4 linked regions of the Caenorhabditis elegans genome follow. The protein of the gene in region 4 purifies or fractionates together with the protein of the main gene of each other region. This does not show direct contact. Each region holds a gene or a part of one and is shown on either strand. Other genes may lie near its edges.

Region 1 (8,121 bases), on a different chromosome or scaffold from region 4:
TTTCGGATGAGCTGCTCAGAAAGTGTCTTGACGTTAACATTTTTGGTACAATTAATGTAAGTTTGCTTAAGATGAAAATTTTAAAATATAAACAAAGTATCAATACTTATAGTTAGCATTTTAAAAATATGGTGAGAAAATAACAAAAAATGAAATCGATATTGTTTTAAGGAGCAGTATTAAAGCAAAATTGTTTTTCTGGCATGAAACGCAAAGTTTCATAACAAGGATGCTAAAAAACCTAAATTTTTTATGGTAAATCAAAATAACAAAGAAGTATCGAATGAGCTCAGATTCAGTTTTTTTTTTTTCAATAAACACGTTCTTGTGCTTTTATAATATTAGTCATTTTAAACGCTTCAACATGACTCTGATATGTCCGAAAGTTTTTTAGACGTAGCAAATTTAGTGTCAGTTTTTTCGGGGTATTTTCAGTCAATTAAAGCAAACATTTAATAACTTTAATCCGTTTGTTCTATGTTTATTATTTGAACTTCCTAAAACTTTCCTAAAACTTAAAACTAGTCAAAAAATTTTTTTTGAGAACTTAAAAAATTGAAAAACAAAAAAAATATATATTTTCGACAGACCAAATGAGTTTAATTGAACTTTATTTGTGTTTCAAAACATACTTCAATAAACAAATCAAGATATTATTCTTTGTACTCGTTGAAAAACATTTACGTATCAGAACATGTTTGGAGTCGAAGTTTGGTTTTTTATAAAATTTGGTACGGACACTGAATTAGTACCACGTGTTTTCTATTTTTAATTTTTATCGTATCAGACAATTCGAGCTTTCCTCCCAAAAATGGAAACCAAGAACGACGGACACATTGTTTGCGTTTGCTCAATTGCTGGGTGGTCTGGTGAAACGATGGGACTTTCTTACTGGTAATTTAATGTTCCAAAGTTTTTGTTTTAAACTTTAACAGTTACTTCAGCACTAGCAAATTTGCGGTTCGCGGAGCTATGGAATCCTTACAAATGGAGCTCAGAGATCGCGGATTAGAGGGTATCAAAACAACTACGGTTGGTTGTTGCTAAATTATTGGCTAGAGATATTCTCGTTTTCAGCTCTACCCATATTTTGCAAGAACCCCAATGATTTTGGAAAATAATATGAGACCTACATGTACATGGTTCCCGTTCATGAGCATTCGGTCTTGCTCGAAAAGAATGGTAGATTCTATTTTGAAAGAAAAAGTGCACGCTTTTGTTCCCTCGTACATCACACTCATCCCTTTTGTGAAAAAGTAAGTTTCTCGGTTTCGTTATTTTGGTTTCCATGGTGAATTTTTATTAAGAACATTTGTTTTGAATTGTAGATGAAATCGGCATATTTAAAAATAATTAAAGTACTTTTTAAGTGTCAATATTCATGTGCTACTTATTAAAATGGCGAAAAATTAAAAATCAATGCCCTGTTTTCGCGTCTTATTATTATTTTTTTGAGAACTGTACAACTTTTCGTATTCGCAAAAAGAGCTGCCCGAATTGTTTTTCTGTCTGCGTCTAGTTTGTCTTTACACGCTCTATTATTGAGGTCACCATTGGTGTCCTTATTGATTCAGATAGTATCTCCTCTATTACACGAAGACACCCCTTCTTCTATCGTTTGAGAGAATCAAAAAAAAAAGAAACCAACTATTCATCTCCACTTACTTTTTGATTCTCGTACACTATGTAGAATATAGCCAACTAATGATAACATGATAAAATCTAATTTTTTATTTCAGTTTCTGCTCTCTTCAAGTGTGCCGGTCGCTTCGTAATTATTTGGGTGTTAAGTATTCCGCTTCAGATCCATCATTTTGCAAACTGACACTTATTGAAATGTCGGACTATTACAAAACTCCACAACTCTTCTGGTGGCTCCTCATTGTTCCAGCTCTGGCTATCAACTACGTAAGTTTTAAGGTTTCAAGTGAAAAAAAACTATGTTTGATAAAAATAGATATTTCAAAGCTTCCACTTCGATCTATATCTTTGATTTTTAGATTTCTTACGCCCATCCAGCAGCAGCACTTAATATTCCATTAATTGGATCTCTCGTCCATAAGATTGGAACTGAGTATCCATTTGTTGCTCTTTTAACCAACCTTTTCGCCCTTGTAGCACACGCCGGTGAAGCTCTTTACGCTCTTTATCTCTGCCATAAAGCCAATATCAGGTGAACTTTTTCAGTTGATTTTATAACAAATTGTATTTTCAGTTTTGCTTCTACCGCAAAATGGGTTGTCCAAACGTTTATTCTTGGTTTCCCGTCACTCTCTATTCTCAGTCGATACGAAGCCAAGCAGAGGAAGAATAATTGACTAGTAGTTGAAAATGTGTCTGATAGTTCCTAAAATGTATTAATTTTGTTTTTTTTTGCCAATGCAATGAACGACCATTTATTATCAAATAAAATGAAGAAACTCAACGAAACATTCTCAAATAAACAACATGTCGAGAGAAAGGCCAGTGTGTGCAAAGACGCAGAGAAGATCACTGCAAACGCGCTCCGTTGAGGTTGCTGTGTGAGATATCTTGGACAACCCCGCGCATTATTGGACTGTTTTTTGTTGTTTTATTGATCATGTAGTGGTCAATGAGCAGGTCATTCTTGCCTTCGCTGTTGCCAGAGAAGGTCGGCTTTTTTCTTCCCTGTTTTTGGTGATTTTGCCGTTTTTTTTTGTGTATTGAGTGTACTTACTGTGTGAGTCTTTAGATTTTCCGTTTCACGCATACACGTTTTTTGTAAAATTATTAGTTTTTGTAGGACTCTCGGTTCAAAAATTATAGAAAACGTGCAGACTGGACTATGAATTATATTCGAAGTTCTTCATTGTAACATTGTGAGGTCGTCTTTCCAACTCTCAACCTATCCCGGTGATTTTCTCGGTTTCTCTGCGTGTGTGTGTTCAGAGGACGAATACGTGCAAAATCGCAAGAAATGGGCAAAGAGAGAGAGCGGGGCAACTGCGCTTTGGGTCCATCAGAAAAGAGAGATAGACAACTTTTGTGAAAATCTTGTTGCGGGACAAGGGCACCGCACTTCTTGCTTTTCTCTTTTCTGGCCAGGCTATTTACTTCGTTGCTCAGTTGCCATTTCTGCATGTTTTTCTTATTTTTTCTACTAGTCGAAGTTTTCCTTCATAATCAATATAAAGAGAGTTTTCAAGGCATCGCTGTTTATCACTTAACTGACCAAATCAAATCGGTCGTCCTTATCTTTCTCCATCGAAGTTATACACGAAACTGTTTTTCTCCATCATCTTACTTTTTTCTTTTGTGAACTGCTGATGTCGTTGTTCATTTTATCATGAAAATCATTGTTTTTAGGTTGAACCATGCTCCGTGCTGCATCCAGTATCCGCGCTGTGGCCAATCGTGGATTGGCAACTGCTGCTGTTGCCAGACCAGGAGTGTAAGTTTCTGAAAGTTGTATTCGGTTTTGAGATCAATAGGTTCAATTTCAGACCACTTGATGAACGTGAGGGAAAGGAGATTTACACTACTGTAGGAATCGATTACAATGAGCCAAAGTTCGACAAGATTTTGATTGCCAATAGAGGTAATCTCAAGCATCTAAAAGAATCTTAGATTTAATCGTCTATTTTACAGGAGAGATTGCGTGTCGCGTGATCAAAACTGCCAGAGCTATGGGAATCAAGACAGTGGCCGTTCACTCAGATGTCGACAGCAACTCGCTTCACGTAAAGATGGCCGATGAGGCTGTATGTGTTGGAGAAGCTCCAACTGCCAAATCCTACCTACGTGCTGACCGCATCTTGCAAGCTGTCGAGGACACCGGTGCTCAAGCGGTAAGAATTCTAACGTGTCTATGTAATGGAAGGATAAACCGCAAAAATCAAATATCAGAGGAGAATGTAAATTCTGTGGCATGAATCTACATGCACAGTAGCACAAACATATTACCCAGACATCCGACAGAGAATAGAGTTTTTGCAAAAGTTCAGAACACCGCTCCAAATCAACTACTACTGTTCAAGAAGTCAGAGCGTTCGCGCTTAACTTCAAACGGAGAGAATAGCTTAAAAAAGTTGCTGACTGAAAAAATGTGAAATAAAACATTCCCTACATTTTGATAATGCTCAATTTTTTCATGCTCATATCACCTGGCTGAGATATGAGGGTTTGAAGTGATGAAGCTCTAGAGTTCCCTCTTATGGCCTGTTGAAAACTGTGGTGAGGTCAAATTATGAAAAGCACGAATTACCGCATTTTTCAGAGGACAAGCTAGGGTCAAACAGTTTGACAACCCGAGCGAGAGCTTTTGGCTGTGTAGCAGCTTAAGATTTACCGTAATATATTAGAAACCAGTTACTTGTAATATGCACGTGATATTCACCTACTTTCACTACGAAACACAACAAAACAAAAATTCTGTGACAAGTGACCAAGTGGTCTCTTTCCAGTCTCTAGCATCTCGCGTGTTTCATTTTCAAATAGTCAAAGTCAAATGACGAGAGATAGATTGCAAGTGTCTTCTGTTATGTTTTTCAAACAGAACTGCTAAAAACGTTGAAAACATATATTTGCAGGTTCATCCAGGATATGGATTCCTTTCCGAGAACACCAAGTTTGCCGCCGAGCTTGAGAAGGCTGGAGCCAAGTTCATCGGACCAAACTCTAAGGCTATTCTTGATATGGGAGACAAGATTCATTCAAAGAAAATCGCTACCGCAGCCCGTGTCAGCATGATTCCAGGATATGACGGAGAAATTGCTGATGAGGATATGTGCGTGAAAGTCTCCCGCGACATTGGATACCCAGTCATGATCAAGGCTTCTGCCGGTGGTGGTGGAAAAGGAATGCGAGTTGCCTGGAACGACAAGCAAGCTCGTGAAGGATACCGTTTGTCCAAGCAAGAAGCAGCTTCTTCTTTCGGAGATGATCGAATGCTCGTTGAGAAGTTCATTGACAACCCACGGCACATTGAGATGCAGGTGCTCTGCGACAAGCATGGAAACGCTTTGTGGCTCAACGAGCGTGAATGCTCCATTCAGAGAAGAAACCAGAAGGTTATCGAAGAGGCTCCAAGCAGCTTTGTGCCACCAGAGATGAGACGCAAAATGGGAGAACAGGCCGTTCAGCTCGCCAAGGCTGTCGGTTATGACTCTGCTGGAACCGTCGAATTCCTCGTTGATTCTCAGAGAAACTTCTACTTCTTGGAGATGAACACTCGTCTTCAGGTAATATCTCAGTATGGCCTAAATGTTTAATTTTTAAATACTCACAGGTCGAGCATCCAATTACCGAGTGCATCACTGGAATCGATATTGTCCAACAGATGCTTCGCGTTTCCTACGGTCACCCACTTCCAATCACCCAAGAGCAAGTGCCACTCAACGGATGGGCTTTCGAGTCTCGTGTCTACGCCGAGGATCCATACAAGGGATTCGGTCTTCCATCAGTCGGACGTCTCTCCAGATATGTTGAGCCAAAACACGTCGACGGAGTTCGTTGCGACTCTGGAATCCGTGAGGGATCGGAAATCTCTATCTACTACGATCCACTTATCTGCAAGGTAAAGGATAAATTAGCATTTAGATAATTTCAAGTGACTTACTTTGTAATTTCAGCTCGTTACGCACGGAGACAACCGTGAACAGGCTCTGAACCGCATGCAAGAGGCTCTCGACAACTACGTCATTCGTGGAGTCACTCACAACATTCCACTTCTTCGTGATATTGTCCAAGAGAAGAGATTCCGTACTGGAGACATTACCACCAAATATCTTCCAGAAGTGTACCCAGAAGGCTTCCAGGGAACCAGCCTCTCACCAAAAGAGCAAGACGTTGTCATTGCCTTTGCCTCGGCTCTCAACGCTCGTAAACTTGCTCGTGCCAATCAATTCTTGAACCAGAACAAACAACGTAGCACTCATGTGGCTTCCTTCTCGAAGACCTACAAGTTCGTGTCTTCTCTGCCAGTGAAGGAGGGTGAGAGGCCAACCGAGCACGCTGTTGAAGTCGAATTTGTCGAAGGAAGCGCCAACAAGGCCCAAGTTCGTATTGGTGGAAAGACTGTGACTATCAGTGGAGATCTCAACTTGTCTCATCCAGTCAACTCAATTGAAGTCGATGGAGAGCACATCACCACCCAAATTGTTGGCAAGCGCGCCGGAGAGATCACCGTTCTTTACAAGGGAACTCCATTCAAGGTCAAGGTGCTTCCAGAGCAGGCCGTCAAGTACTTGCAGTACATGAAGGAGAAGGCCAAGGTTGACTTGTCCACAGTTGTGCTCTCACCAATGCCAGGAGCAATCAAGAACGTCAACGTTAAGGTAACATTATTTTATCACTACCATTAGATGTGCTAAAACTGATTCAATTTACAGCCAGGAGATATGGTTTCCGAGGGACAAGAGTTAGTTGTCATGGAGGCTATGAAGATGCAGAACAGTCTTCATGCTGGAAAGACCGGACGCGTCAAGGCCGTCAATGTGAAGGTTGGAGCCACAGTCGACGAGGGAGAGGTGCTCGTTGAGCTCGAGTAGATTATTCTCACTGAACCTGAATTTTTTTTGTTGTTTTAATTACCGTTTTTTTCCTAATTTTGTACAATTCAAAGCCGCCACTATCTGGTATGGAGATTGATAATTTCATTCGCAGTTTCTCAAATTTCAAGCCATATTTATATTTTATTTTTGATGCCATTACCCTCACCTGTTGTATTCCAATCATCACGGACGTATTTCTCAGCCACCACCCTGTTTTGTTGCCCCAAGTATTATGTAGTGAATAAATATTGTAGAAGGCATTGCAAAAAGGTTGTTATATGAAGAAAAAAAAGCATTTGCTCATTTTTTGAACTTTTCAATTAGAAAATTATATATCTATTCTGTTTCTACATAACATAAGTGCAGATGTTTTGTTGATTAAATTTTCTATTTTTTGTGAAATAGCTTGTGTAAACTAAACATTTTACCATAGTCCATAATTGAAGCTCGGAAATAAGCGTTGTGAAAAAACTTGTCAGTTTGCAAATCTGTTTTAAAAATTTCAGATTTCTCTTTTTTATGTTCTTCTTTCATGTATCTCAATTTCAAAATATTGAATAGCAGTGCCAATTGATTATTCTGAAAGAAAATTGACAAAAAGACGAGTTGAGACGAGAAGATGAAACAGAAAATGATGGGAAGAAGAAAAAGAAGAATTTTTCTTCCAGTTTTTTTTGCCGTTTTCTGTTCTTTTCAATCTCATTTTAACTCACGTTTTTTGGTTTCGTGTGAGTAGTGTCACACTGATATTGTTAAATTCTGTTAACTTCTAGTTGAGAAAATAAATAATGTCAATATTTTAATAAAACTTACTTGTAGCACTTTCAGATCTGTAAGATGTCTAGTATCGGTATAAGTAGATACGAAGACGGGGAAGAGAACTGTTGCACAGCCTGCCTTGAATTTATGCATGAACGGAGGAGCCCACCATCATGCGAACACAATTGTGTTGCATGTTTTTATTGTAAGTATAGATTTGATTTTTTTTTGAGTTGAAGCTTGATTATCAATAAAACGAAGTGCTAGTTGAAGTTTTAAACAGTTTAAATCTAACTTTTTCGAAAAAGTGGGTGAGACCCGTCCCTTTCCAATATGTGTTAAATTGATTTCAAATTAAAAAGAGAAGTTTGTTGTATTATAGTATTTAGTCTTGTTATTTTTTTAAAGATGAAAATAGGATCAACAAATGAAAAGGGTTTTGTCATGACTCAGTATGTTCTACACTCTAACCCAAATTGTTTTATATGATGAATGCTTGTTTTGTTTTCAGTATTAATTGCTCGACGAACCAATTGTTTGATTTGCAACGTGACAATATACGAGATTGAGCGCATCTTCAAAGATTTGAGGAGCAGGGTGAATATTGAAGCTAATAGAATGAATTGACTGTAATTGAAAATGAAAATGTGTTCTTATATGTGCATCTTCTGTGTATCACTGTTTTAATACAATAATACAGATTTTTCTGTCACGTGGAATTCTATACTTGAAGAGAAAAGCTAAACGGTGGACTTTGTTGAAACTATTTTGAGCTAAATATCGTATTCAAAATCGTAGGGAGTTCTTCTTTCACATATTATCCTTGCATTACTAAATCAGAACTCCCAAA
Region 2 (6,907 bases), on a different chromosome or scaffold from region 4:
AAAAGCAACTGAGGTCCGGAAAAAAATGATGAAAAATAAAGGAATCAAATTTAGTTTTGTATACATTTGTGTTGCCAGCCAACCACGAACAGTTAAAAAATGACAGTACTGATAGGAAAACCGCACATCGTGTTGATTGAAAATGTTTCTATGCTCACAAACTTTTAACGATTTTTCTCTTTGTTACATTGTTATATTTACTGATGTTTTTTTTTGAATAAGAATTATATTTTTAATTGAATTGTTTAAATTGAATTTTTTGCTCACATTGAAGATAACAAACAATACTTAAATTTCGAAGTTTATTTGAAATTCCATCATTAATTTTTATGATTTTCTGCTTCAGATCTCAAATTCGATGTAGTTTAACGTTGAAACAAAAAATGAAGGATGAGAAAGTGTAAGCCATTAGAAATCCAGATGTCTCAGACGAGTGCGTCATCCAATTATTTTCCAATGGTACCTTTGAAGTGTTGAAGATATGGGAAAAATGAGATCGGCTTCTACCCAGTGACTGGAAGCAACTTAAACAAAGTGCAATCTACAAAATTTCGATCTGAAATTGAAGAAAGAAAAATAAAGCAAACCACAACAAAGTGATTCTTTTCTCTATCTTTTGTATCTCTTGCTCCTACAAAATATTTTTCATGCGAAAATATTTGAATTACACACTTGAAAAATAATTTGAGAAAGGTATTCCCTGACGTACCGAAGTTTCAAATTACACACACTCTCGGCATCTTTATACAATATCACTCTTACTCTTTGAACTCTCTGAAACATAATATTTGATCTTTTGATACATGATTTTCAGATTGAATGTGGAGTTCCACTGCTGAATTACAATATGGAAAACTTACAAGGTGTTGGATAGAAAAAAGTAAGAATGAAAACAGTTTGGTTCATATAAGTTTATTATAAAATAATTTGTTTTTAACTGAAAAATTGTCAGCTTATGTTTTTACCATTTTTGGGATTCATCTCATTTTGAGACCTAGAAAGGCAATATATTTTAATTTTTAACGCGACTGGGGCATTTAAGTGTCCTATATCGTTTTCCACATTGCTCTATTCGGCCAAGTCTGGTAGCTTATTCTCTGGTTTCTTTCTAAATAGGAAATTATGCAGCTTATTGTAAGATGAGGCCAATCAACTAAATTGTTCTTTGACCCAATGCTAAACCTACATAGTTGAATTGCAATGTGGTCATAAAGAACCGCGAAGAATTGACATTATGAACGTACAATGCAGATATCATCAATGAAACCATGCACAATGCGCACGCCGCGATTTGCAAAAATGTGCACATCATGATCGTCCTATTGTGACAGGTCTATAAATCCATTGCTTTCGAGTTGCTCAGTTTCAAAGTGGCATTTTCATTTAACAACTTTTGAAATCCTTAATACTCATACAACAACCAGCGACGTCATTTCCATCCGTTCCCAAATTGCTCATTGATTCCGATTTCAAAATACTCTCAAATATCCTTTGTGAAGCGTGTCTCGTCAACTTTGCCTTCGCCCTGCAGCTCTTCATTGAGAACTTTGTAAAAATTTTGGGATCTTCAACGTCGACGAGAAATGAAGAGTTAGGTGGGAAGTGCCATCCCATCCACCTTTCTCCTCCTCCGCAAAATCTGTGGGCAGCTCCGGGGGGCTCCCGGGACATTCATCTTTCCCATCTTTTTTCGTCGTTTCGTTCTCCGACTAGCGACCAGGAGGCGGAGAAAGAGCTTAGCAGCAGAAGAAGTAGAAATTACAACACCTTCGTGAAACAGAGAAAAAGATAAAGGGAAAATGGGACTCTAACAGCGACCTCTTGGCACTTTTGTCAGTTGGAAACTACAAGCGAGACATCATTTTTCTCCTCTTCATATTTTTTGTTCTCCTCTCAAATTTGTTTTTTTTAAATTTATTCTTGAGTGCTGATCTCAATGCACAAAAAACATGACTAAAATCAACTGTTATATGTACAAAAAACCAGTGATTCAATTTTCGAAGCATTTTTCAACCTTCAACCATTGGTCTTTTTGCCTTTTTCTTTTTTTTCTCAGCATTATAAAGTGTTTTCCCTCAAAATACTGTTGACACATCTTGTCTAGATCTTCTCCAACATTCCCCTACTTGTGCTTGTTCATTGAGAACATAAAACATTGTTTGCTTAGTTCTCCCACCCAAAAGCCACTACGAACTACCGTTCAAGAAGTCTTTCGTCTCCTATTTTCCTGTGAACTCAATGGATAAATGATGGTAAAAACACATTGGCAGATCATTTTTCATTCGCTCTTGGCGGCGCTCTTACCTGATCAGAAAACACGCCCCTCTTTTCTTTTAGTGTGTAAAACTTTAGGTTACCGAGATTCCGTATATTCATGGCTTCGTATTCAATCATAAAACTACAGATTTTAATTTTTTCAGATATGGCACCACCATCAATTTACGGAGAACCAAAAATTAGATCAGAGAACGGGTCGGTGTTCCTTGAGGTACGAATTTGCTTTTCCTTTTGAAAATTGCTAAGTTTTCTTCCAGGTCATCGTCACTGGAGCTGATGTTTCTAAGATTCAGTGGTTTTTCGGACCAGACGAGCTTGAGGAGAACGAGTTCCTGAAGTTCTCAAACAGTGACGAAGGAGGCAACCGCACCAAGTTTGTTGCCGAAATCAAGGTCAGTTTGAGAGCAACTGTTTGCCAAAGCATCTCGTATAAATCACATAAAACGACTCACGAGTCATTTTATGGTCCCATTGCTGCGATGCGCTCTGCAACTGTTGTCTGTATGTGTTTTGATCTGCGTTTAATTGGTTTTTGATGGACTTACCGTAGATTTTGGGCAAAAGTGCGGCAAAAGCAGAATTAGCTGTCGGTCGGGAGGTGAAAAGCAAAACATAACAACGGTTAAGCATTTGATCAAAAGGAAACTCTAAGTACATTCATCATTACAAAATACTTTTTACTTTACTATATTCTTTATTTTTTTCGTATCTCACATTAAATATACATCAATAACGTGAACTGTAATTTTGAAAATTCAGTAAACATTAAAAAAAGCCGTGCAGTTTGAACTTCACATTAGGAACTATAATTGTAAAAGTTACTAATGATAGTAGTAGTTGAAAAACAAACCACATAAGCTACATTACTGGTAAAACGGAAAAGCAACTGAAAAACTGTCCAACGGTCCAAAATGCCGCAGACTGAAAAAAAAAACTGATGTCCGCCGGTGGTCTGTCTCCATGTCAGCCAATAAGCCGATTGTCGACCGCCCCGGTCGCAAATTTCGTTTTTCTAAGCTTAAAAAAAAACTCCGAACACAAAAACGATTTTATCAGCTGCCATTGGGCCGCTTCTGAGCAATCCCGCTTTACCTGTGATAAAAAATAATCGGAATTATGAATTTTAACTGTTAACAAAACACCTTTTTGCTTCTTTAAATCATCATTTTATAGGACTTTGATAAACCACTTGCCGGAGAATACAAAGCCGTCTTTGCCAACGCCGATGGAGAGAACAGCTCTAACTTCACAGTCGCAGCAGGAAGTGAGCTCATTATCAAAAACACTAAAAGCTTACACATACAATTTCAGACGCCCCAGACTTCCATGACAAGCCACATATTGTTCAAAGAGATAACGGAAATGTGATTGTGATTAAGGTCCGCGCAAAGTCCCACCTTGAGATGAAGGCCGAATGGTTCAAGGTATGTCTGTCACCTTACTTTGAATCTTAGGGGAAAAAATTTCCCTGAATTCTTATTCGGTATTTTTCTTGGCATTGCTAAATTCATTTTGGTTGAACCAGAATAGAGCTTCTCGAAGATGGATCGACTGACTGACGTGTCTTTTTTCTTTTGTCTTCTTTCTTCCACCGAAGAAAAAAATGTAGTTGTCCTAATTTCCACATTTATGTTAGTCGAAGTGAACCTCTCCGGCTTTCTCAAGGGGATTCAAAATAGAAAGGCAGAGATGGGTAATGTAAAGAAGTGTGGAAATAAGACAAAAGTTGGGAGGCCTCCTCGTCCGCGCCTTTGGGTTGTGCCGAGACAGATACTTGAGGCTCATGGAGCAGATAGAGCGAAGTTTTGAGTAGTGAACAAAAAAGAGAAATGGCGCAAAAAACTAAAAGCAAAAAGGTTCAATAAACATTAAAAGAATTCACTTGTTGTCTGGTTCAAAATGTAAAATGAAAAATGAAAAATGAACATTTCAATGGGCATGCTTGGAACCAAGTTTGAGTTTTTTTGGAATGCTTTGATAAATAAAATTAACAAACTTGTTTTGGAAAAAATTTTCTGAACGACCGTCTAGTATAAATCATTTTTAAATTAACAGAAAAAAAGTAAATTTCATATTTTTCACTAATTCATTCTTCCAGGATGAAAAACCAGTGAAATTCACTGACCGAGTTAAGGCTGTTGTAAAGAAGGACGATAAGGACAAAGACGGATTCCAATTCCTACTCGAAATCACCGGACCACAAAAAGACGATGAAGCAAAATACAAGTGCGTTGTCAAGAACTCCGAAGGACAAAACCAACAAGCGTTGAACTTGGTTTTCGATTAATTTTATAAATTTTCCCTTGGTTTTTAATTGTCATACAATTCAATTCATAAAGCCTCAAATCAATTTTCATGTTAATCGTTGCTTCTGATTTTCGATTTTGGTAGTTGCACTTTCCGCTTTTTTTTCTTCTGTAACTTTTAACGTTTTGTAGTATTTGTCTTCTCAAAGTAATTTGAACTTTGTGTCCCATGCACATGAATTGGTATCAGCCAAAATAAAAAAGTTTCTTGACACATTGAACATGAGAAGATATACTTGCAAGTACAGAAATCAATATATATATATACAGTGCTGGCCAAAAAGATATCCACTTTCAGTTTTTTGACGATTTCGATATTTTTTCCAATGGGCATAACTTCAAAACTAGGAAAGGTACCAAAAAATTTTCAACTGGTAAAATGTAGCTCGTGATCAGGCCTATGTATTTTTACATGTTGCAATTATTCATCCATCACATGGCAAGTAATAAAGCGGCGGGCATCTCGTGAGTCCGTTTTTGACGATGATTACTAAAACGACTGTAACTCAAGAAACATATTTTTAATGAAAGGTTTGAGAAAGTAACAAAATGTTTATTTAATTTTTCATTGTTTGAACATATCAACTTTGTCCTAAAACCTCCATTTAAAAAAATGTGTGCGCTGAAACTAGTGTCTCATTAGACACTGTTTAGAGGCTTTGTTCAAAAATCAGGTTTCTTGGATTGAAAATCTTTTTCCGACAATTTTTGTGAAGAACTGATGTTGTTATTATATTTGAACTACATATTAACCAATAAACAGAATTCAGAAAAAAAAATCTACTATTTTTGAGACATGAGCTCGAGATTACTCTACACTTCTCTTCTTTAAACTCTCTTGTCTTTTTCAATGGAGGTTTCAGGACGAAGTTAGTATGTTCAAACAATAAAAAATTATATAAACATCGTGTTACTTTCTAAAAACCTTCCATTAAAAATATGTTTCTCGAGTTACAGTCGTTTTAGTAATCATCATCAAAAGCGGACTCACGAGATGTCGGCCGCTTTATCACTTGCCATGTTTTGGGTGAATAATTTAATCATGTAAAAATACATAGGCCTGATCACGAGCTACATTTTACCAGTTGAAACTTTTTTTGATAGCTTTCCTAGTTTTGGAGTTATGCTCAATGGAAAAAATATCGAAATCATCAAAAAACAGAAAGTGGATATCTTTTTGGCCAGCACTGTATATACGTGTCTTTGCTGTAATTCAGTGATGCAGATAGTAGATAGTGCTTTATCATTTTAGTTTTTCAACAATTTTTGTAAACTCTAGTGTTTATCTAACAAAATAAAACCATAGAACAAAATAATATTGAAAATCATCCAACGGGCAAAAGTTTACCTAGTCCAATTTAGACTACTTCAGTTGAAACAACATTTTTGCTATCACTTTGAGAATGCCGCTTTTGAATCTGCAATCTACGTGTGCAAATTTTAATATCTAATTTTATATCAAGTTGAAAACAATCTAATAAGACATAACCCCGAAAATCAAAAAAAAATTGGTAACCGGCTGCCTGTTTTGAATTGAAAATTATTTGATTTTACGGCGAACGGTTCAACATAGATTACACAGTAAAAAATAATTTCAAAATATATATAATTTACTTTAGTAAGACATTATTGTTTTGCGGTTAAATGACCTGTTAAACATTTTAAGGTAAAAAGAGTGTTATATTTTTCCCTCAGCATGCCAAACTTATGTAACAATTTGAAGAGTTATCTTAATAAATTGAAATTTTTCAAAAATTGTAAATTTATTTACAAAAAAAATAATTTTTCTTAATTTTGAACCAAAGCCCTCACTGCTATTTCAAACTTCGCTGATATATGCGTTAACCCACAACCCAAAAAAAGAAAACCGACTTCTTGACCTCAAACAACTATTCCGAATTCAACTGCAATATTGAGAGGCAAAAGAAAACAACAAGTCCCAAAACCAGTTTCAGTAGCAATGTTACCCATGGGAAAAGTAAGCGACCGGAAGGAATAAAAAGGAAAAAGGAGTGTGAAGGAGGCAGGCTAAATCGAAAAAAAGACAATGTTATCAGTGTATTCTGAAGGTCCGAAGGCGTTCACAACAAGAAGATAGAAGCTTTCGTGGGTTTTTTCTCACTTTTCCGGAATTGTTTTTTTTTGTTGCTGTGAGCCGTTTTCTTTACCAAGTTTGGTTTTGTCAGAGGTTTTGTTAGATTTTTCACTGCAAACTCTGCGAGTATGCAAGATGACATCATAATTATTTAGAAACCATACTCCAAATATTCCACTTCTTCAAAAGTTTTTATTTATCACATCCATAAATAATTCATTTTGGGAAA
Region 3 (9,088 bases), on a different chromosome or scaffold from region 4:
TCTTCCACGACAACATTCAATCGGCACCTAACATATACCTGATGAATGAGAAATGAAGAAAAACATCCCAAATAACGGATATTGGTTTTGGAGCTGACTGGCAAAAGGATGCCATCAATCTTGACTCGGTCTCTAAAGCCTTTCGGCTATTCCAAAAAATTCATGCTTTTTTTTGGAAGACGAAGCAGGAAAGGAACGATTGAAAGTGAAAAACGCCTTGGGCTTCTTGAAAAAGAGAGGAAAACTTTTATTTTAGTTTTCTCTTTCCGACAAACAAGGGCGCTGCCGGACACTGCCGGACACAAGAGACAAGAATAACTTTTTTCTGACAACATAAAGAAATGAATAGCGCACTGGGAATATTTTTTATATAAAAATTTTAGAATTAATAAGCTCAGAATGGATTATATAGTCTCATGAGTACATAAATATTTAAAATTAAAGAAAGTGTATTCCAATGAAGAAGGAATAAGAATGTTATGTAATGATGACGTTCATCGGTCTCATTGTCTCGTCCACTTGGGAAGAACAAGGTTCCAATTGGCACCTTCTCGTAGTGGCCGTCGTAATATCCCTACACTAATCCTCCTTACACGGCTAATGTACTCTTATGGGAAACGAAAAGAACATGAAAAATGCGAGATAGGCAATACAGTACAGTCTATATATTTATTTGCATTTTGCAATACCATATAGAAATTCGAAATGTGCGTCGAGAAAGAGAAAAATAAAGTGTGAAACGTATGTTTGCCGTAATTAACAAGCGCATTCGACGACTAGAGGTGCGTGCGCGCTCCGCCGAGCCTTTCCAAGGTCTGTAAACACGGATTGGAGCGATAGAGCGGTCAAGACTAGAGAGACGTAGGTGGTTAGACACATGTTCTTCCCGAATGAAGAAGAATCTCCAAAAAAGACCGGTCCGGAAAGAAAATCTATGAAGCTATTCCAATTCCCATCACTGAATCCATGAACATGGTGGAGGGCTGAGAAGTCAAGCGTGACCGGCAGAAGGACATGGAGATCCGGTGCCTATCGACTAGCCACAACTGGTGAGCGTCGAAGAAGAGAAGATGTTGTGATGAAATTCGAGATTGTCAGCGATAATCGAGAGACTAGGTCAAGTAGTGGAAACGCAGAGAAAGGGGGAGACGATGACGTGGATGCTCTTTAATACAGGTTGAAATAAAGAAAGAAAGAAAGAATAGACTGAAAACATATGAATAAAAACATTATAAATGTCGAAGGAGACAATATGAAAACATGTAGGGAGCGGATGATGGACGGTATTCTAATAGTAATAGTAAACGAATAAAAGAACGATGTGAATCGGGTCAAAACCAAATTAGTTTCGAGTGTCCTTCTGAAGAGGCTAAGGGATTCAAAAGCGGATTTCATGATGATGCGATTACATCTGATCCTACAGTATTTTATACTTTAACTCCATGTGTCACTGTAAAATATCGAGAAACTTGAGAGCAGTGTTGTCTCGATTTACTGAATATATCAGTAAAAATGAATAGAATATTTCTAAATATTGCGAAAAAACTGATAAATTGTGCTTCAATTTATAAAACAAAAACTCAATTAATTCAGCCGGAAATGTCGAAACTAGGTCAATAAAATTCTCTGATTAAAAAACCTATTTTAAAAATTAGAAAAATGCTATGATATTTTACGAGTCGTATTCAGTATAACGATACTGGGTTTGAAATTTAAATAATAAATAAAACCCACAAATTGATCAAAATAATTTCAATGCTTTCAAGTTCATAACTCAAAATTGTCATTAAAAATCGGGTAAGTAAAATAAATGCGGATTTGTATAATTCATGACCGACAAAATAAGGATAAAACTTATTAGCATCATAATGGATGTGTTGAGCGGCGGATGCGGGCGGCACACACTCAAAAGAAGTAAAAGAACATGCATTGTTTATCCGCGGCTCATTCGTCATAACAAGCTCTAATAAAGTAATAAATACCTAATGGACGTGAATAGAACGAAGGAAAAGGACCAAAAAAGGATATGTGACACCTGACGCAAGTGTTCTCTACCGATTTCACTTCGCTTCTGATACACAATTACATTATTTTAGCATCGTGCCTGGGAAATGAAGTCTTTAGGGAATCGTAAAATTTAAACCATCCGTCGTTCTGCACTAATTGATCAAAAGTGAAAGGGCAAGGGAAATTCAGCTAACGAAGCCGAATTTATTTGTCAAACTGAAGCTTAAAAGCATTTTTTGAAAAAACTATAAGCACAAAATAATATTTCTTACAAGTATATTCAATAGAGTTCGAAATTAAACATTCGTGAGGGATGTTCAATCGTCTTTTTATCCGATGGGTAGTACCTGACAGTAACAATAATAACTTAACCTTGAGACCATAAGTGGCAGACGGTGAAAGGATTCGAAGCGCCTAATTGCCATTGGAATCGGGTCATTTGTGTTACTAATGTTCCGGGATACAAAAAAACAGTGAAACGTGTAGACACCCTGATATCAATATTTATAGGAACAAAGTTGAAACTGATACATTTTCTTGAGGGTTTGAGTGGGCCGAAAGATTGCAAAAAAAAAGTCAAAAAGTGAGCGAGTGACTAATGTAAATGGAAACTGTACAAACATACTGAATAGGGAGGGAAGAGGTCAGAATAAAAGAAAACTCTTTCCTATTGTTGCCAGTAATGGACGGTGAGATCCAGAAAAACAGAGAAGGGCGGTGCGGTTTGAATACGAAATACGGAAAACGAGAAAGGGATTGAGAAACAGCTGGCGATCTATACCACAATTAGCATAAATAATAAGAACCTCATTAATGAATATCGTGAGGAAATTTTTTTTTTTTGAAACCTTACTTTGAATATAAATGTGTTTAGCCAAATTTTTGTAATTTTGAGCACACAAAAACGTGCATCGATATTATTAATAAGGTCTATTATCACATCTAGTTGGAGTTTAGAAGGATTTCCCGAATTAAACTGAACAAGCAGTACTAGCGGGTAATATTCTATTCAAAACCTACAGAATCCTGATTCAAATAGTAATTTTTAATCGCCTAGGTGTAATCTAAATAATTATCAACATTTCCATTTACGGAAACAAAGAAAAAAGAAAAAAAAACAACAAAACAAAAAATTAAAATTCAAAAAGTGCCGAAATGAAGAGAGACAGCTGTTGCCTGAAGAGACGCAGCACGCTGGGTCTCGCAGCGATTTGCCCACCGCGACGTTTGCGTACACGGTGGATCGCGCTGTGACATGGAACTTTACAGCAAAATCAACGTTCTTTTCGGGATTTAATTAATTTCTAGCTCGATTTCTAGCTTTTTTATTTTGAAAAATATAAAATAATCTTTATACTTGTTCCAGGATGTCATATCAGCCGCCACCAAACGGGCAAATGCCCGGATATCCTCAACAGCAATTTAACCAACAGCCGCAGTTTCAGTCAAACGGATTTCCCCCTCCAGGTGAGTTTATATGAACATTTGCATAATACAACAATTGTTTTAGCAGCGCCGCAAAAGCCAGCTCAAGTCCCAGGTGGATTTCCTCCACCCCATCAGCAACCAAATGGACAGTATCAAAATGGAGGCTTAAATGGAAATTCGTCTCACTTGGCACAATCTGTGAATAATATGTCTATTGGAGCTAGATCAACTCCGTCAGCACAACCCCCAAGTGAGTTGCTTTTTTTTCGCTAATCCGTTAAGTTTAATTTTAAGATCCGTACCAGCCAGCAGGATATCCCGGAGCTCCACCACAGCAATTGCAACAAGTACAGAGACAGCAAACTCCTCAACAGTTCGCCGCTGTACCTCAAAGTGTTCAAGGTAAATAGTGTTTATAGAGGCAAAGCTAAAACTTCTATTTTAGCTCCTAGTGCCACACCTGCAGGTCCACTTCAAGCAATGCAACAAGCGCCTGCTCCGACTCCGGGAATTCCGCAAATGAACCAAGGAGCTCATCTGCCGCCACAACCACATCAGATCCATCAACCCACTCCGCTTCGACCACAAATCCCTGGTTTTCCACAGGCAGGCGGCTCTCCAAGTTCGTTCCAAGCTGGAGCACCCACTTCACAAAATGTTCAAGGCTACCCAGGTGGACCATCTTCTGCTCCTAGCGCTTACCCAGGTGCTCCACAAGTGCCTCAAGCGCCCAATTCGTTCATCCCACCTGGCACAGGAGGATTTCCACCAGGACAACCCACAGCGGGCTCGTTTCCACCCGGTCCACAAGTTCCAGGATCATATCCCTCTGGCCCAGCAGATATTCCACAAGGCCCAGGCATGCCAAGAGCATTTCCTCCGGGAGCCTCAGCTCCAGTTGCACCAGGGATGCCAGGAGCATTCCCTCCAGGACAAGGAGGACCAGGAATGCCGGGATCATTTCCCCCGGGAGCCCCAGGCCCAGGAGGACCAGGAATGCCAGGATCATTCGCTCCAGGAGCTCCAGGCCCAGGAGGTCCCGGCGGATATCCCTCAGGAGGTCCAGGTATGCCGGGAATGCAAGGTGGATACCCCGGCGGCCCACCACAGCAACGACAACAACGTCTTGATCCTAATATGATGCCAAGTGCTGTTCAAGTTATTGATGATGATTCGTCGACTCGTAGCGGGATCTTCCCAACTGGATATCCGAACGCTGAATTGCCGCCACTTGTTTCTACAAATTCTTTCGCTCAAGATCAAGGAAACTGCAACCCCAAATTTATGAGATCAACCCTCTACACAGCTCCACAGACTAATGACATTTTGAAAGCATCGCAGATTCCGCTCGCCGTTGTCATTTCGCCATTCGCATCTCTGACTGAATATGAGGTTTTTTTTTTAATTTTTCAAAAATGAATAATCAATTATTTTCAATTTCAGAAAGAACCACCAGTCGTCGATCTGGGACCACAAGGACCGATTCGTTGCCAGCGTTGTAAGGCATACATTTGTCCGTTTATGGAATTCCAAGATGGTGGACGCTCCTTCCGTTGTCCATTTTGCCATGCTCGAACTTCTGTCGAAGATGCTTATTTCGCCCATCTCGATCATACAGGCAGAAGAACTGATATTGAAATGCGTCCAGAACTCTGTCTTGGAGCGTATGATCTCGTAGCTACAAAACAATACTGCAAGGTACGTAATTAAAAAAATCGCAATTTTCAAAAATTCTAAGTGACATTTTTAGAATGGAATCGCGCCAAAAGAACCGGCCTTCATATTTATGATTGATGTATCCTACAATGCTATTTCAAACGGAATGCTTCCAATTCTTTGTCAAAATCTGGAGAAAGTACTTCGAAATTTGCCAAGAGAATCTGGACAGCTCGAGTCGTCTATGCGTATAGGATTGGCTACATTCGATCAGGCGGTTCATTTCTTTGACATTTCGTCGGCATCTCCAAAAATGCTCGTAATGTGTAAGTTTGATAAACTTATAAAAATTTGTCTAAATATGTACTGTTTTTAGCTGATGTTCAAGAGCCATTTGTTCCTATGGTCGATGGACTTCTTCTCCCTTACAACGAGGCACTTCCTGGACTTCGTGCCGCATTGGCTGAAATTCCTAAACTCTTTTCGCAGTCGAAAACCACCGAAACCATTCTTCAACCCGTCGTACAAGCCGGTCTTGACGCTTTGAAGTGTGCCGACAGAGCAGGAAAAGTGATTCTGTTTTCAACTGTTCTACCAACATATGATGCACCGGGAAAGCTGAAATCCAAAAATGATCGATCTCTTCTCGGGACAGATAAAGAAAAGAATGCACTGGTTCCACAAGAAGATTCATACACGAAGTTGGGAGAGCAATGTGTCAAGTCAGGAGTTACTGTCGATTTATTCCTCTTCCCAAATGCTTTCATTGATGTTGCCACAATTGGTCAGCTTTCTGCAGTTACGGGAGGATCTATTTTCAAATTTCAGTATTTCTCGGTAAATTTAAAGAAAAACCAATAATTTTATTAATTTTATTTTTATTTCAGGCCGATAAAGACGGTGTTCGCATGTTGAATGAGTTGGAACGACACGTTTCTAAGAAAATTGCATTCGACTGCATGGCAAGAGTAAGAACGTCTACAGGAATTCGTCCTATCACTTTTACTGGCTCCTTTTACATGGAAAACTCAACGGATTTGGAATTGGCTACATTGGATGAAAGCAAAGCATTCATCACAGAAATCAAACATGATGATAGTCTGAAAGATCCAGCTTCCTTCATTCAAACCGCTGTACTGTATACGTCGATGACTGGACAGCGCCGTTTGCGAATTTTGAACTTATGCCTTCCAGTTACTGCTGATTACAACCAAGTTTACCGACTTGCTGATCCGGAAGCATTGACAGCATTCATGTTGAAGCAAGCTGTTCAATTGAATCGTGACAAGGGAAGCTCAGAAATGAGAGAATCACTTTCTTCTCGTTGTGCACAATTCCTAGCGACCTATCGAGAGAAGTGTAGTGAAGGTGCCCCACTTGGACAACTGATTCTTCCTGAATCTCTGAAATTGATGCCGCTCTATGTGAACTCTATTTTGAAAAATGATGCGATCAGTGGAGGAAGTGAAATGACAGTCGACGACAAAGTGTGGCAGATGGAATTGATCCGTGGGCTACGAACTGAAAATGTCATGCCTCTTATTTATCCAAGAGTTATGCCAATCTCTGATCTACAAATCAATGATACTGAAGAAATGAAGGATCTTCCAAAACCTGTTAGAGCGAGTTCTGAGTTCCTGGAAAATTCGAAAGCCTATATTATTGATAACGGTGTTATTCTGTTTGTCTGGGTTGGCTCTGCATGCCCCCAGACATGGGTTCAAGACGTGTTTGGTGTTGGTGCTACAAATCAAATTGATACCGAGAGTGTAAGTTATCAATTGCTACGTTCAATTAGTCAATTACATTTTTCAGGGAACAATTCCGGAAAAAGACAATGGTCATTCACGTGCTCTTCGTCGTGCAATTCAACTTTTGCCACGTGGGATCCGAGAGCGAAAAACGTTCGTTGTCGTGGAAAAAAGCGGCCTTGAGCCATGGATGAAGAAATTTTTAGTGGAAGACAAGGCTGGTCCTGCTAATATGTCATACGTTGATTACCTTGTGGATATCCATCGCAAAATCCGCGATCTCATTTCCTAAGTCGTTGATACTGTGATAGAATTGCTTCTCTTGATTGTTCCCTTTGTTCTTCCTTCATATTATTTTGATCACGCCAAAGCAAATCTTGTGATTAGAAATGTTGGAAGAATTAATATTTTGTACCGGTTTCTTTGTACACATTCATTTCCTTCCCTCTCGCCGTACTATTTTCTTTTAATATTATGGAGCATGGTTTGTAAAAATTAAGATATTAGCTTTCCTAGCACCTTATCAGTGCAAAAATAGAATTTGTTTTATCTGCTTTTTCCCAGATTCCTAATTTATTCTTTTCCAGTTGCTCTCGCGACTTTTAGAGATTTCTATTTATTGTTCCTTTTTTTGTAAAATATCCCCTATTACCCCGTCCATATAATTTATTGTGATTTGAAATGGGATCGAATGTGTTTAATTTGATGGTGTCTTATGAAAATAAAATGTTTTTGATTAAACATTTGAGAATCGAATATGTTGACTTTGTGAATATTATATTTTTGAAATTCACTTCGGTGTAATGTTAACGCGCTCTAACGCAATTTGCCGCGAAATTTCAACATTGACAAATTTGCCTTCTTGAATTGATTTTTTTCTTTATTTTAAGAATGGAAACCGCTTGGTCCAACATCCTAAACTATAAGAATGTCTCAGATCGATACATTCTCACTGAAAAAGATAAAAAAGGTATTTATATTTTGCTCTAAGCTTTAAAAAGTTATTTTCTTTCAGGTGCGTTCACTAGACAGTACTTTGAAGTCTACGAAGCTCGCTTGAAGGAACTGAAACCTCGTATTTTGGAAAATGCAGAACGTGAAATTGGTTAGAATTATAATATTACTAATAAACCTTAATTTTTATCTTCAGGCAAGGGAAAATTCACGCATTCACAATTGAGCGATGCTAAACAAGACGAGGAAATCTTCGTGGTCGGCGTTATTGTAAAGAGAATAGCTGCAAGACCATCAATTTTGAAATCGTTGCTCAACGAGGATAAAGTGGCTTATGATGATTATGAAGAAGATGCCGAAGAAGACGAAGTGAAAAGATACGCTGGAAGCATTGAAGATCGAATCGAATTGGAATCAGATAAACAGACAGTACGTCTGGAAGGAAATATTTCAATGGATGAGTGTGCAACTGGTTGTTGTGTTGGAGTTCTTGGAAAATTAGGAAAAGAAGGAGTATTTCATGTGAATCGTTTGGTTTGGCCATCTGTAAAAGTTCCAAAGAAAGTGGCTGTCGACGGGACTATCGCTTTCGTCAGTGGACTCGATCTAACTGGAGATTTGGAAGACGATGTGAGTATTAATTCTGTAACTTGAATACTATTCCAACTTTAAAATTGTGCTCCAAAACTACGGTACACGATCTCGAAGCGACCGATTTTTGTTAATACAAAAGAGTGCGCCTTTAAAGAGTACTGTAGTTCCCAACTCCTCGTTGTTGCAGATTTTTCATTAATTCGTCAAAATTTGAAAAACATTTTCACATGTTTTTCAATAAATTTCAAAGAAACGGATGAAAAATCGAAGAAAATCTACAGAAGTTCGGAACTACAGTAATCTTTAAAGGCGCATAATCTTTTGTTTTCTGTTTTTTTGTCTAATTTAAATCGAAAAACAACCAAATTACACCTTTTCTCGGATATTTTAATCTAAGTATTTCCACTTAATCCCGGACTTCTGAATGAAATCTATGCCATTTGAAAGAGCATCTTTTAAATAGGCCCCTACAAAAATTTAGCAGCAGAGGACCACTTTGATCTGGAAAAAAGTCTCCCTGAAAAATGTTCAGTGCATTTTTCCACAACTTTCGAGGTCTGTGAATGGCTCCAAATGTGAATTTTTGTAGATTTTTGATGATTTCTAAGATTTTCAGGGGCAGGCAAACATTCAAAATTTGTTTTGGAATTTTTTCGATTTTTTGAATCCATGTCCATTGCGAAATTTCAGATTTTTTT
Region 4 (6,875 bases):
AGTTAACTGGATCAATCAGAGAAATGGAAAGCCATATATTACAATTGAAAATCGTAAAGATATTGATGTAGATGTGGAGAAGAGTAGACAAATGAACTCCAGGAACATGAATGGTTATGTGAAGAGTAACAATTCGGAGACGAATCCACATCTCACACAAATGCTTGACTTGTTCTCGGAAACTGAGAGGTTGAAACCAGAAGAGAGTTGGTATTGCTCGACGTGCAAAGAGAATGTGGAGGCTACCAAGAAGCTTCAGTTGTATAGGTTGCCGCCTGTTCTGATCATTCAGTTGAAGAGATTCGTCTATACAGGTGAGATAATTCTGGAAACTTACTTATAAGAAGGGATTACTCCGTATGAACCTACCTGATTAAAAAAATAGGTGTAGGTAATTTTTGTAGGCATGCAGGCAGGTAAGCATAAGTTTCAAAAAATCTCTCGATTTTTCAAAAAATCTATTGTATGGACTTTCAGCATTCACTTATCAATCATCAATGGCTCGTCGAAGCAAGGACACCCGATCAGTTGAGTATCCATTGGAGAGTCTTGATATGTCTCCGTTTTTAGCAGAAACATCTCCACATCCTAATTCAACGGTAACTATTCACAGTAATTATTTTCAAAAAATATTGAAATTTCAGATGTATGATCTAACGGGAGTAGTATGCCATAGTGGAAACAGTTACTTCGGTCATTATATTAGTATGGGTCGACTCGCCGATTTTGATTCGTCGAAAACGAAAATCGAATGGAGGAATTTCGATGATTCGACGGTGGCTCGGCAGTCTACGAGCACTTTACAAACGGAGGATGCTTACTTACTCTTCTATAAAATGAGAGATCAGAATGTGACGAGGAGTATATTCAAGTGAGTTGGAAACCCCAAGAACTATAAATCTGGGAAAGAATTTCCTGAAATTCAAGAAAATCGATAAATCCTGAGAACGGCTTTTTTTGAGACGAAGACGTTCAAATAATTGAGATAGTTTCCAGCACGGTATTGATAGTATGATAGTTGATTAGAAAGCACTATTGTAATAAGCAAATTGATAATTGAATTTGTAAGCATTGGATAAAAGTGAGAACTGATTGATTCAGCTTCAGATTTGGACAATTTATATATTCCAAATCTAAATAATAAGTTCCACGACCGAGGTCACGCAAATTGAAAATTTTTTTCTTAAATTTTTCTTTAAAAAATTAAATAAAAATTTTGGATTTCAATAATAAGAAACCGTGATTTGCTTGTTTTTTCAAAACTTTTAGGCAAAGATTTCATAAATCGCCAAAAAATTGTGAATTTCTGTGGTTATTTAAGATATCCTGCAGGTTCGAGCTCCTAGAATTTGAAAAAAACAATTAGTACGAAATTAGTAAAAAAAAACCAGGATAACATATTTTGACCGACTTACAAGGTAATGCTTGAAAACTGAATGTTCAGAACTTTTTCACTGGAATAAAAATTTCAAAAAAGGTTTTGAAAGTTTTTCCATAATATTTTTTATTTTGGAACTAGTTGTTCATTTTCAAACTGATGAGTTTTTTTTTTTTTTTAATGATTTAATTTTTAATGATCACCGCGCTGGGTTTTTATCAAAGTAACCTATTCCGATCAATGAACAATTTTTTATTTCAGACGCCACTACTCGTGTGATCCTGGAGCTCCAGAAGAAGTCAAAATTTAGTCATTTTTCTAGATTTTCATAAATTCATCAATTTTTTTTTCCACGTGTTGTTCATTGTCTTCATTTCTTTCAAAACCTGTTACCATGTTTTTAGATATTACATCTTTGATTTAATATTTATATATTTTTCATTAATTTTCCTAATTTTATTGATTATTAAAATAACAATTGTTTGAATCCACGGAGACCGGTTTCAGTTTTTTTTTTGTTCCCCGAAGAGAATAAATTAATTTCAAAATTAAAATTCTGTCCTTGACTGCAAAGGAAAAAAAGAAAAAAGAAATCAAGATAAGCCGATGAAAATTGATAAGAAGGGGAAAAGATAAGATACGAGTTCCAAATATTATCTGTTTTTAGTTCAATGCATTTTGAGGCCATTCACGTGCCATTTTGCAGGCCTACGTGCCTGCCTATCGCCTGATTTCTGAATTTTGGCCCGTGATATATGACGCCATTGTTTTGTTTTTTTTTCACATAAAATCACTGTCAGTGAAAATTTTTAAAGATCAAAAAAATAACCAAAACAATTAATTTTTGATCACAATTTTATCTGACCTGAATGGTTTAAAATGGGAACATTATCTGTTTGGGAACCTTCAAAAAAAATTTTTTTGCTTTTTTTAAAATTTGCTTTTGGTTTTTGAAAGCTTTTTCTAGGAATTATAGGGTCTGTCATCATTGTAGGTTCTTCATGCGAACGGGCCTACGTGCCTGCCTACAAATTATTTGCTTCGCTTTCAAGAGGACTAACATGTTTCCTTTCAGTAGAGTGTAGGCATGAGGCAGGCAGGCATTTTTAGCCACCTAAAAAATTTCTGGAAAATAATACTACGTGTGTCTTATTCTCTTACCATAACTGACCAGCTGCCAAATTTGTTGGCAAACAGTTTTTGCCCTCAACAAGCTAACCACCTGATTCTCTTTCTCTCTTCTCTTTTTTGTGTTTCTTTGATTATTTGACACGTGCTATCAATCGCATTTTTATTTTTTTATTTCAGAATTTTCTAAATTAAAAAAAAAGCATATCGTTATGTCAAGTGAAAACCAGAAAATCGTGGTTTTCGGAAGTATCGTTCAGGATCTTGTCAGGTCTGTTTTTTTTAAATTTTATCTTTCATTAAACAATTTTACATTATAAACTACCAATTTCCAGCTACACAGATAGTTTCCCAAGACCTGGAGAGTCGGTGCGCGGTCACAATTTCAAGCTGGGCTCCGGCGGAAAAGGCGCCAATCAGGCAGTTGCTGCGGCTCGCCTAGGGATCAATGTCTCAATGATTGGAATGGTTGGAGAAGATATGTTCGGAGATTCTAATATTAAGGATTTGAGCAGCAATGGAGTTGATACAAGTTGTGTGGGACGGACCAAAAAGACACATACCGCCACAGCGACTATCACTGTTAACAAAGAAGGTTTGTATCCGAGTTTTGGCGGGAAAAAAATATTTAAGATTATGTGTGGCCTCTTGAATGTCTTGAAGAAACATTCAATATTTGTAGCAAGACCCTACCTCTAAGAAAAAATTGCCAACCGGGTTAAGAATAAGTTCCTATAGCTATATCTGTTCTTATAGCTCGTAGATCACTGAAATTCTAATTTTGTTCTGAAAACGATTTGTCTACGTTCATAGAATCTATTTTCTCTTTCTTTTTCCCCCATTTTTTTGGTGACGTAATATAAATAACTTATTATTTCGAAGAACCTTCAGTGACGACGACAAACAAATAACTTTGAACTGGAACTAATAGTAAGAAGTGGGGGAGAGAGGGTAAGGAGAATTACAAATTTTTAGACTCAAAAAGTGAGCTCAAAATGTGATGCATCTAGTAGAAAATTGGAATTTGACATATGTAGAAAAAATATTTCAAATAGCATCTACAGACATGAAAAGTTCGATTTGTTACAGTGCAATTGAGGTGTAAAACTATTAAAATATGGTAAATTCGAAAAATTAAATTTTCTTGATTTTCAGATTTACATGAGACTTACATTATTTCAAATCCAAATTCCAAAATTTCCAGGCGAAAACAACATTGTGGTGACGCTGGGTGCAAATCTTGAAATGTCGCCTGAAATCGCTGATGCGAACTCTTCAAAAATTGCTGGCTCGAAAATGGTCATTTGTCAGGGAGAAATTGACGAAAAAGGAAATAGAAGAGCCTTCGAAATTGCTAGAAGTCACGGAGTCACCACTTTTTTAAATCCAGCTCCTGGGGATCCGAATATGGATAAGACGATTCTCGAGCTGGTTGATATTATTTGTACCAATGAGAATGAAGTAGGTCTATGTTATTTTTTCTAATCAATTGAACTTTTCCAAATATTGTTCTGAACAAAAAATAAATTAAATTTCAACTTTCCAGGCGGAATTCATCACTGGAATCGCTCAAAACAACGTGAAAGACGCTGAAAAAGCAGCACGTGCAATGCTCAAAATGGGACCTCAACATGCGATCATAACTCTCGGAGGCAAAGGTTGGGGGACTTACACTGGGATAATTTGAAACAATAAATTTTTTTTTGAATTGTAGGTGTCCTGCTTGCATCCAAAGGAGTCGATGATGTTGAGCATACCGCCGTGATCAAAGTCGATGCAGTTGATACTACGGTAATACTAAAAAATAAATTTTGTCCGAGCTTGGGTCCCACCACAATATATTTTTTGAAACGAAAGAAATTAGTTGCCTTTCTAGTTATTTTTAGTTAAAAATGTTGTGCATGGGCCTCTAAAAAACTACTTTATCAAAATCAAAATTTTTGGCGCAAGTTTTCTACAGTAACCTGGAGGAAATATGAACAAGATCAATCTGCATATAGGTATAATATTAATTGAAAATTCCAGGGAGCCGGTGACTGTTTCTGTGGTTCACTGGCTGCTCATTTGGTTGCCGGCCATCCGATTTCCGCATCAATACGCTCGGCTGCCAACTTGGCCGCACTTTCTGTGACACGTCATGGAACTCAATCGAGTTATTGGAAGCTCGACGAGATTCGCCAACAATACCCGGAATTCTTGCCTTAAAACTTATTACAGTGTCTTTCAAGAAATTTGTGATTAGGTCTGAAATAAAAATTCTGCTTTCCAAACACATTTTATACTTTCAATATGTTTTAATTAGCTGTTGAACATTGCAGGGAGCCTGAATTTTTTGAAAATTTGGAAATTTACCGTTTAATGTTAATGTTTGTTCCAAAATAACACAATTCTCCTATAATGAATTTCTTTCCCGTTTTGTTATTTTCCTTTTCAACAAATTTAAATGCTGAAAATTTAATTTCCAGAATCGCATAGTCATTGTGTATAAAGAAATTTGCGTAAATTCAATTATTTCATTGTTTTCGTTTTTCGAGCGAGTCGAGAGCTTCTCCGATAAAAATACAGACGAAAGACAAGAATGATGAATTAAATAATATAAGAATGACGACAAATTGGAAAATGTTTAAATAGTAGATGGGACGGGGGGGGGGGGGGAGGTCTTAAACTAACATTTTACGAAAACTGATCCGCTATTTTCATGAGAGACTTGAATTAGTGTCTAGTAGGGAGGAAAATTGAGAAAGCGGTGTGCCAAAAAGACAGAAATCCTTCCGGCGGAATGAAGAAAATGAGATATAAACCGGGGGAATAGTCCGTTAAAGTAGATAAATAAGGTTGGGTGGGGAATAAATATACAGTGGCGGGGGAAGAGATAAAACTTTAATGGTACCGAATTTGTCTTTTTGTTAAGTTAAAAAAATTAAAACCCATAATTCAAATTAAAACACAAGTCTGAGTCAATCGGGTAAAACATACATGTTATATGAATAGCGGAATAAATAAACGGGCGAGAGAAATAGATATATACTTTTTTTTGACAAGATTGCACATAGGTTGAGAATCGACAGTAGATTTTGGGTTGGTTGAATTTGGCAGAGGAAATAAGGCTCTTCCTGATTAGGTACTGCTTACTGGTGGAACGGCGAGTGATGCTACAGATGGTGGCCCAGTCATGTTCGGGTCAGCCTTGTCGTTGGTGAACACTATCAGCAGGTAGCGGGTCTGAAAATTGGAAAAATTAGGTAAGAATTAGGCAAAGTCAGGTAGAAATCTGGGTTATTCTTTGGAAATTTCTATACAAAAATAGACAAATATTTGTACTTTTTGAAAATAATTTTACTTTCAATTGAAAATTTCGTGAAGTTGCTTCAAAACCGCCTCAAAGTCGAAACTGAGCCCAGGAAATGTGTTGATTGGCTCATCGATATTTGAGGCTCTTTTGAGCAACTTTAAAAATATTTAATTATATAAGAAAAATTATACTCAAAAAGAAAAAATATTTCTCTATATTTCTATGTAAATTTTCTGAAAAACATTTCGACCCAACAAAGATAAAAATGGGATTTTGGAAATGCATCGCACAAATCTCACACTCCCAAAATCCATAAAGTGGCTAGAATCAAATCCTAGTGGAACACCACAAGGCCAAAAAAAATTTCAAAAAAACTCACGTCAGTGTTCTGAAGGTAGTCATGCAACGAGGTGGCCAACTCGGACAGATATCGGTTGACAATCTCGCCTGGTGCGAAAACGTGGACCCGGGCACTTTTGAACTTCTGAAATGACAACAGTTATTGATTCCAGTCCAATAAAATTTCCAAAACTTACCGTCTCGACTTCTCCAAGACTCGAAATCCCAGCGATCTTCTTATTGATAAGGTAGTCGATGAAGTGGGATTTCAAATTGGTATCATTTTCCTTCAGGTTCTCGATATTGTTGACCGACGAAAGTGCAAGACAGCAAGCGTACTCGGGATTCGTGAGAATTCGGTAGATGTCTGAAATTTAGCATTTTGATTAAAAAATGCCGTGTTTTTCCATTTTCCTTCCTTATTTTTCCATGTGTTTAATCTCCTATTTTCATTCCCCTCCACTTCCGATGTTCATGCAAACGAGAGTATGAAAGAAGGAGAAGCTTTCCGTACAAAACATGAATCAGTTGGGAGGGGGCGAAACGAACGAAAAAGGGAAAAGACGGAAGTCGGTCAGATGGGGAACGACGATGACAAAAACAAAAAGTGCACCGCGACCTCCCAGCGCGCGCTCGAGTCTAGAAACCACCACACTGCCTATTTCGGAGAACAGATCTTTAAGTATGTTACTGAATAACTAGGGTTTCGGTTCAAAAGTACAATAGTATGGGGTAACA

Evidence for each region.
Region 1: the proteins of F07A11.5 (region 4) and pcca-1 fractionate together in Caenorhabditis elegans (co-fractionation; one large-scale study listed by BioGRID). This does not show direct contact.
Region 2: the proteins of F07A11.5 (region 4) and zig-12 fractionate together in Caenorhabditis elegans (co-fractionation; one large-scale study listed by BioGRID). This does not show direct contact.
Region 3: the proteins of F07A11.5 (region 4) and sec-24.1 fractionate together in Caenorhabditis elegans (co-fractionation; one large-scale study listed by BioGRID). This does not show direct contact.

The regions. Positions count from the first base shown.
Region 1 is NC_003284.9:7,656,193-7,664,313, reverse strand, and holds pcca-1 (Propionyl-CoA carboxylase alpha chain, mitochondrial), read left to right. Parts: upstream 1-3,327; 5' UTR 3,328-3,335; coding exon 3,336-3,412; intron 3,413-3,464; coding exon 3,465-3,559; intron 3,560-3,609; coding exon 3,610-3,809; intron 3,810-4,550; coding exon 4,551-5,201; intron 5,202-5,248; coding exon 5,249-5,536; intron 5,537-5,591; coding exon 5,592-6,296; intron 6,297-6,350; coding exon 6,351-6,509; 3' UTR 6,510-6,802; downstream 6,803-8,121. Other genes in the region: dhs-29 (NADP-retinol dehydrogenase), read left to right, coding at 1-56, 788-894, 945-1,032, 1,078-1,256, 1,740-1,908, 2,001-2,173, 2,216-2,318; F27D9.12 (RING-type domain-containing protein), read left to right, coding at 7,350-7,476, 7,783-7,898. UniProt on the Caenorhabditis elegans protein: This is one of the 2 subunits of the biotin-dependent propionyl-CoA carboxylase (PCC), a mitochondrial enzyme involved in the catabolism of odd chain fatty acids, branched-chain amino acids isoleucine, threonine, methionine, and valine and other metabolites.
Region 2 is NC_003284.9:8,761,487-8,768,393, forward strand, and holds zig-12 (Ig-like domain-containing protein), read left to right. Parts: upstream 1-2,420; 5' UTR 2,421-2,422; coding exon 2,423-2,488; intron 2,489-2,534; coding exon 2,535-2,669; intron 2,670-3,450; coding exon 3,451-3,541; intron 3,542-3,588; coding exon 3,589-3,701; intron 3,702-3,846; exon of another isoform or gene 3,847-3,992; intron 3,993-4,375; coding exon 4,376-4,564; 3' UTR 4,565-4,794; downstream 4,795-6,907. Other genes in the region: M02D8.5 (CUB_2 domain-containing protein), read right to left, coding at 1-66.
Region 3 is NC_003282.8:11,560,478-11,569,565, reverse strand, and holds sec-24.1 (Protein transport protein Sec24C), read left to right. Parts: upstream 1-3,371; 5' UTR 3,372-3,374; coding exon 3,375-3,474; intron 3,475-3,517; coding exon 3,518-3,685; intron 3,686-3,729; coding exon 3,730-3,837; intron 3,838-3,880; coding exon 3,881-4,827; intron 4,828-4,878; coding exon 4,879-5,133; intron 5,134-5,185; coding exon 5,186-5,417; intron 5,418-5,467; coding exon 5,468-5,928; intron 5,929-5,978; coding exon 5,979-6,860; intron 6,861-6,906; coding exon 6,907-7,134; 3' UTR 7,135-7,580; downstream 7,581-9,088. Other genes in the region: pold-2 (putative DNA polymerase delta small subunit), read left to right, coding at 7,734-7,812, 7,858-7,947, 7,993-8,426.
Region 4 is NC_003280.10:11,609,619-11,616,493, forward strand, and holds F07A11.5 (Ribokinase), read left to right. Parts: upstream 1-2,681; 5' UTR 2,682-2,718; coding exon 2,719-2,777; intron 2,778-2,841; coding exon 2,842-3,101; intron 3,102-3,710; coding exon 3,711-3,967; intron 3,968-4,052; coding exon 4,053-4,164; intron 4,165-4,220; coding exon 4,221-4,297; intron 4,298-4,531; coding exon 4,532-4,711; 3' UTR 4,712-4,773; downstream 4,774-6,875. Other genes in the region: F07A11.4 (ubiquitinyl hydrolase 1), read left to right, coding at 1-314, 478-599, 645-871, 1,640-1,688; din-1 (Daf-12-interacting protein 1), read right to left, coding at 5,624-5,728, 6,178-6,282, 6,335-6,504.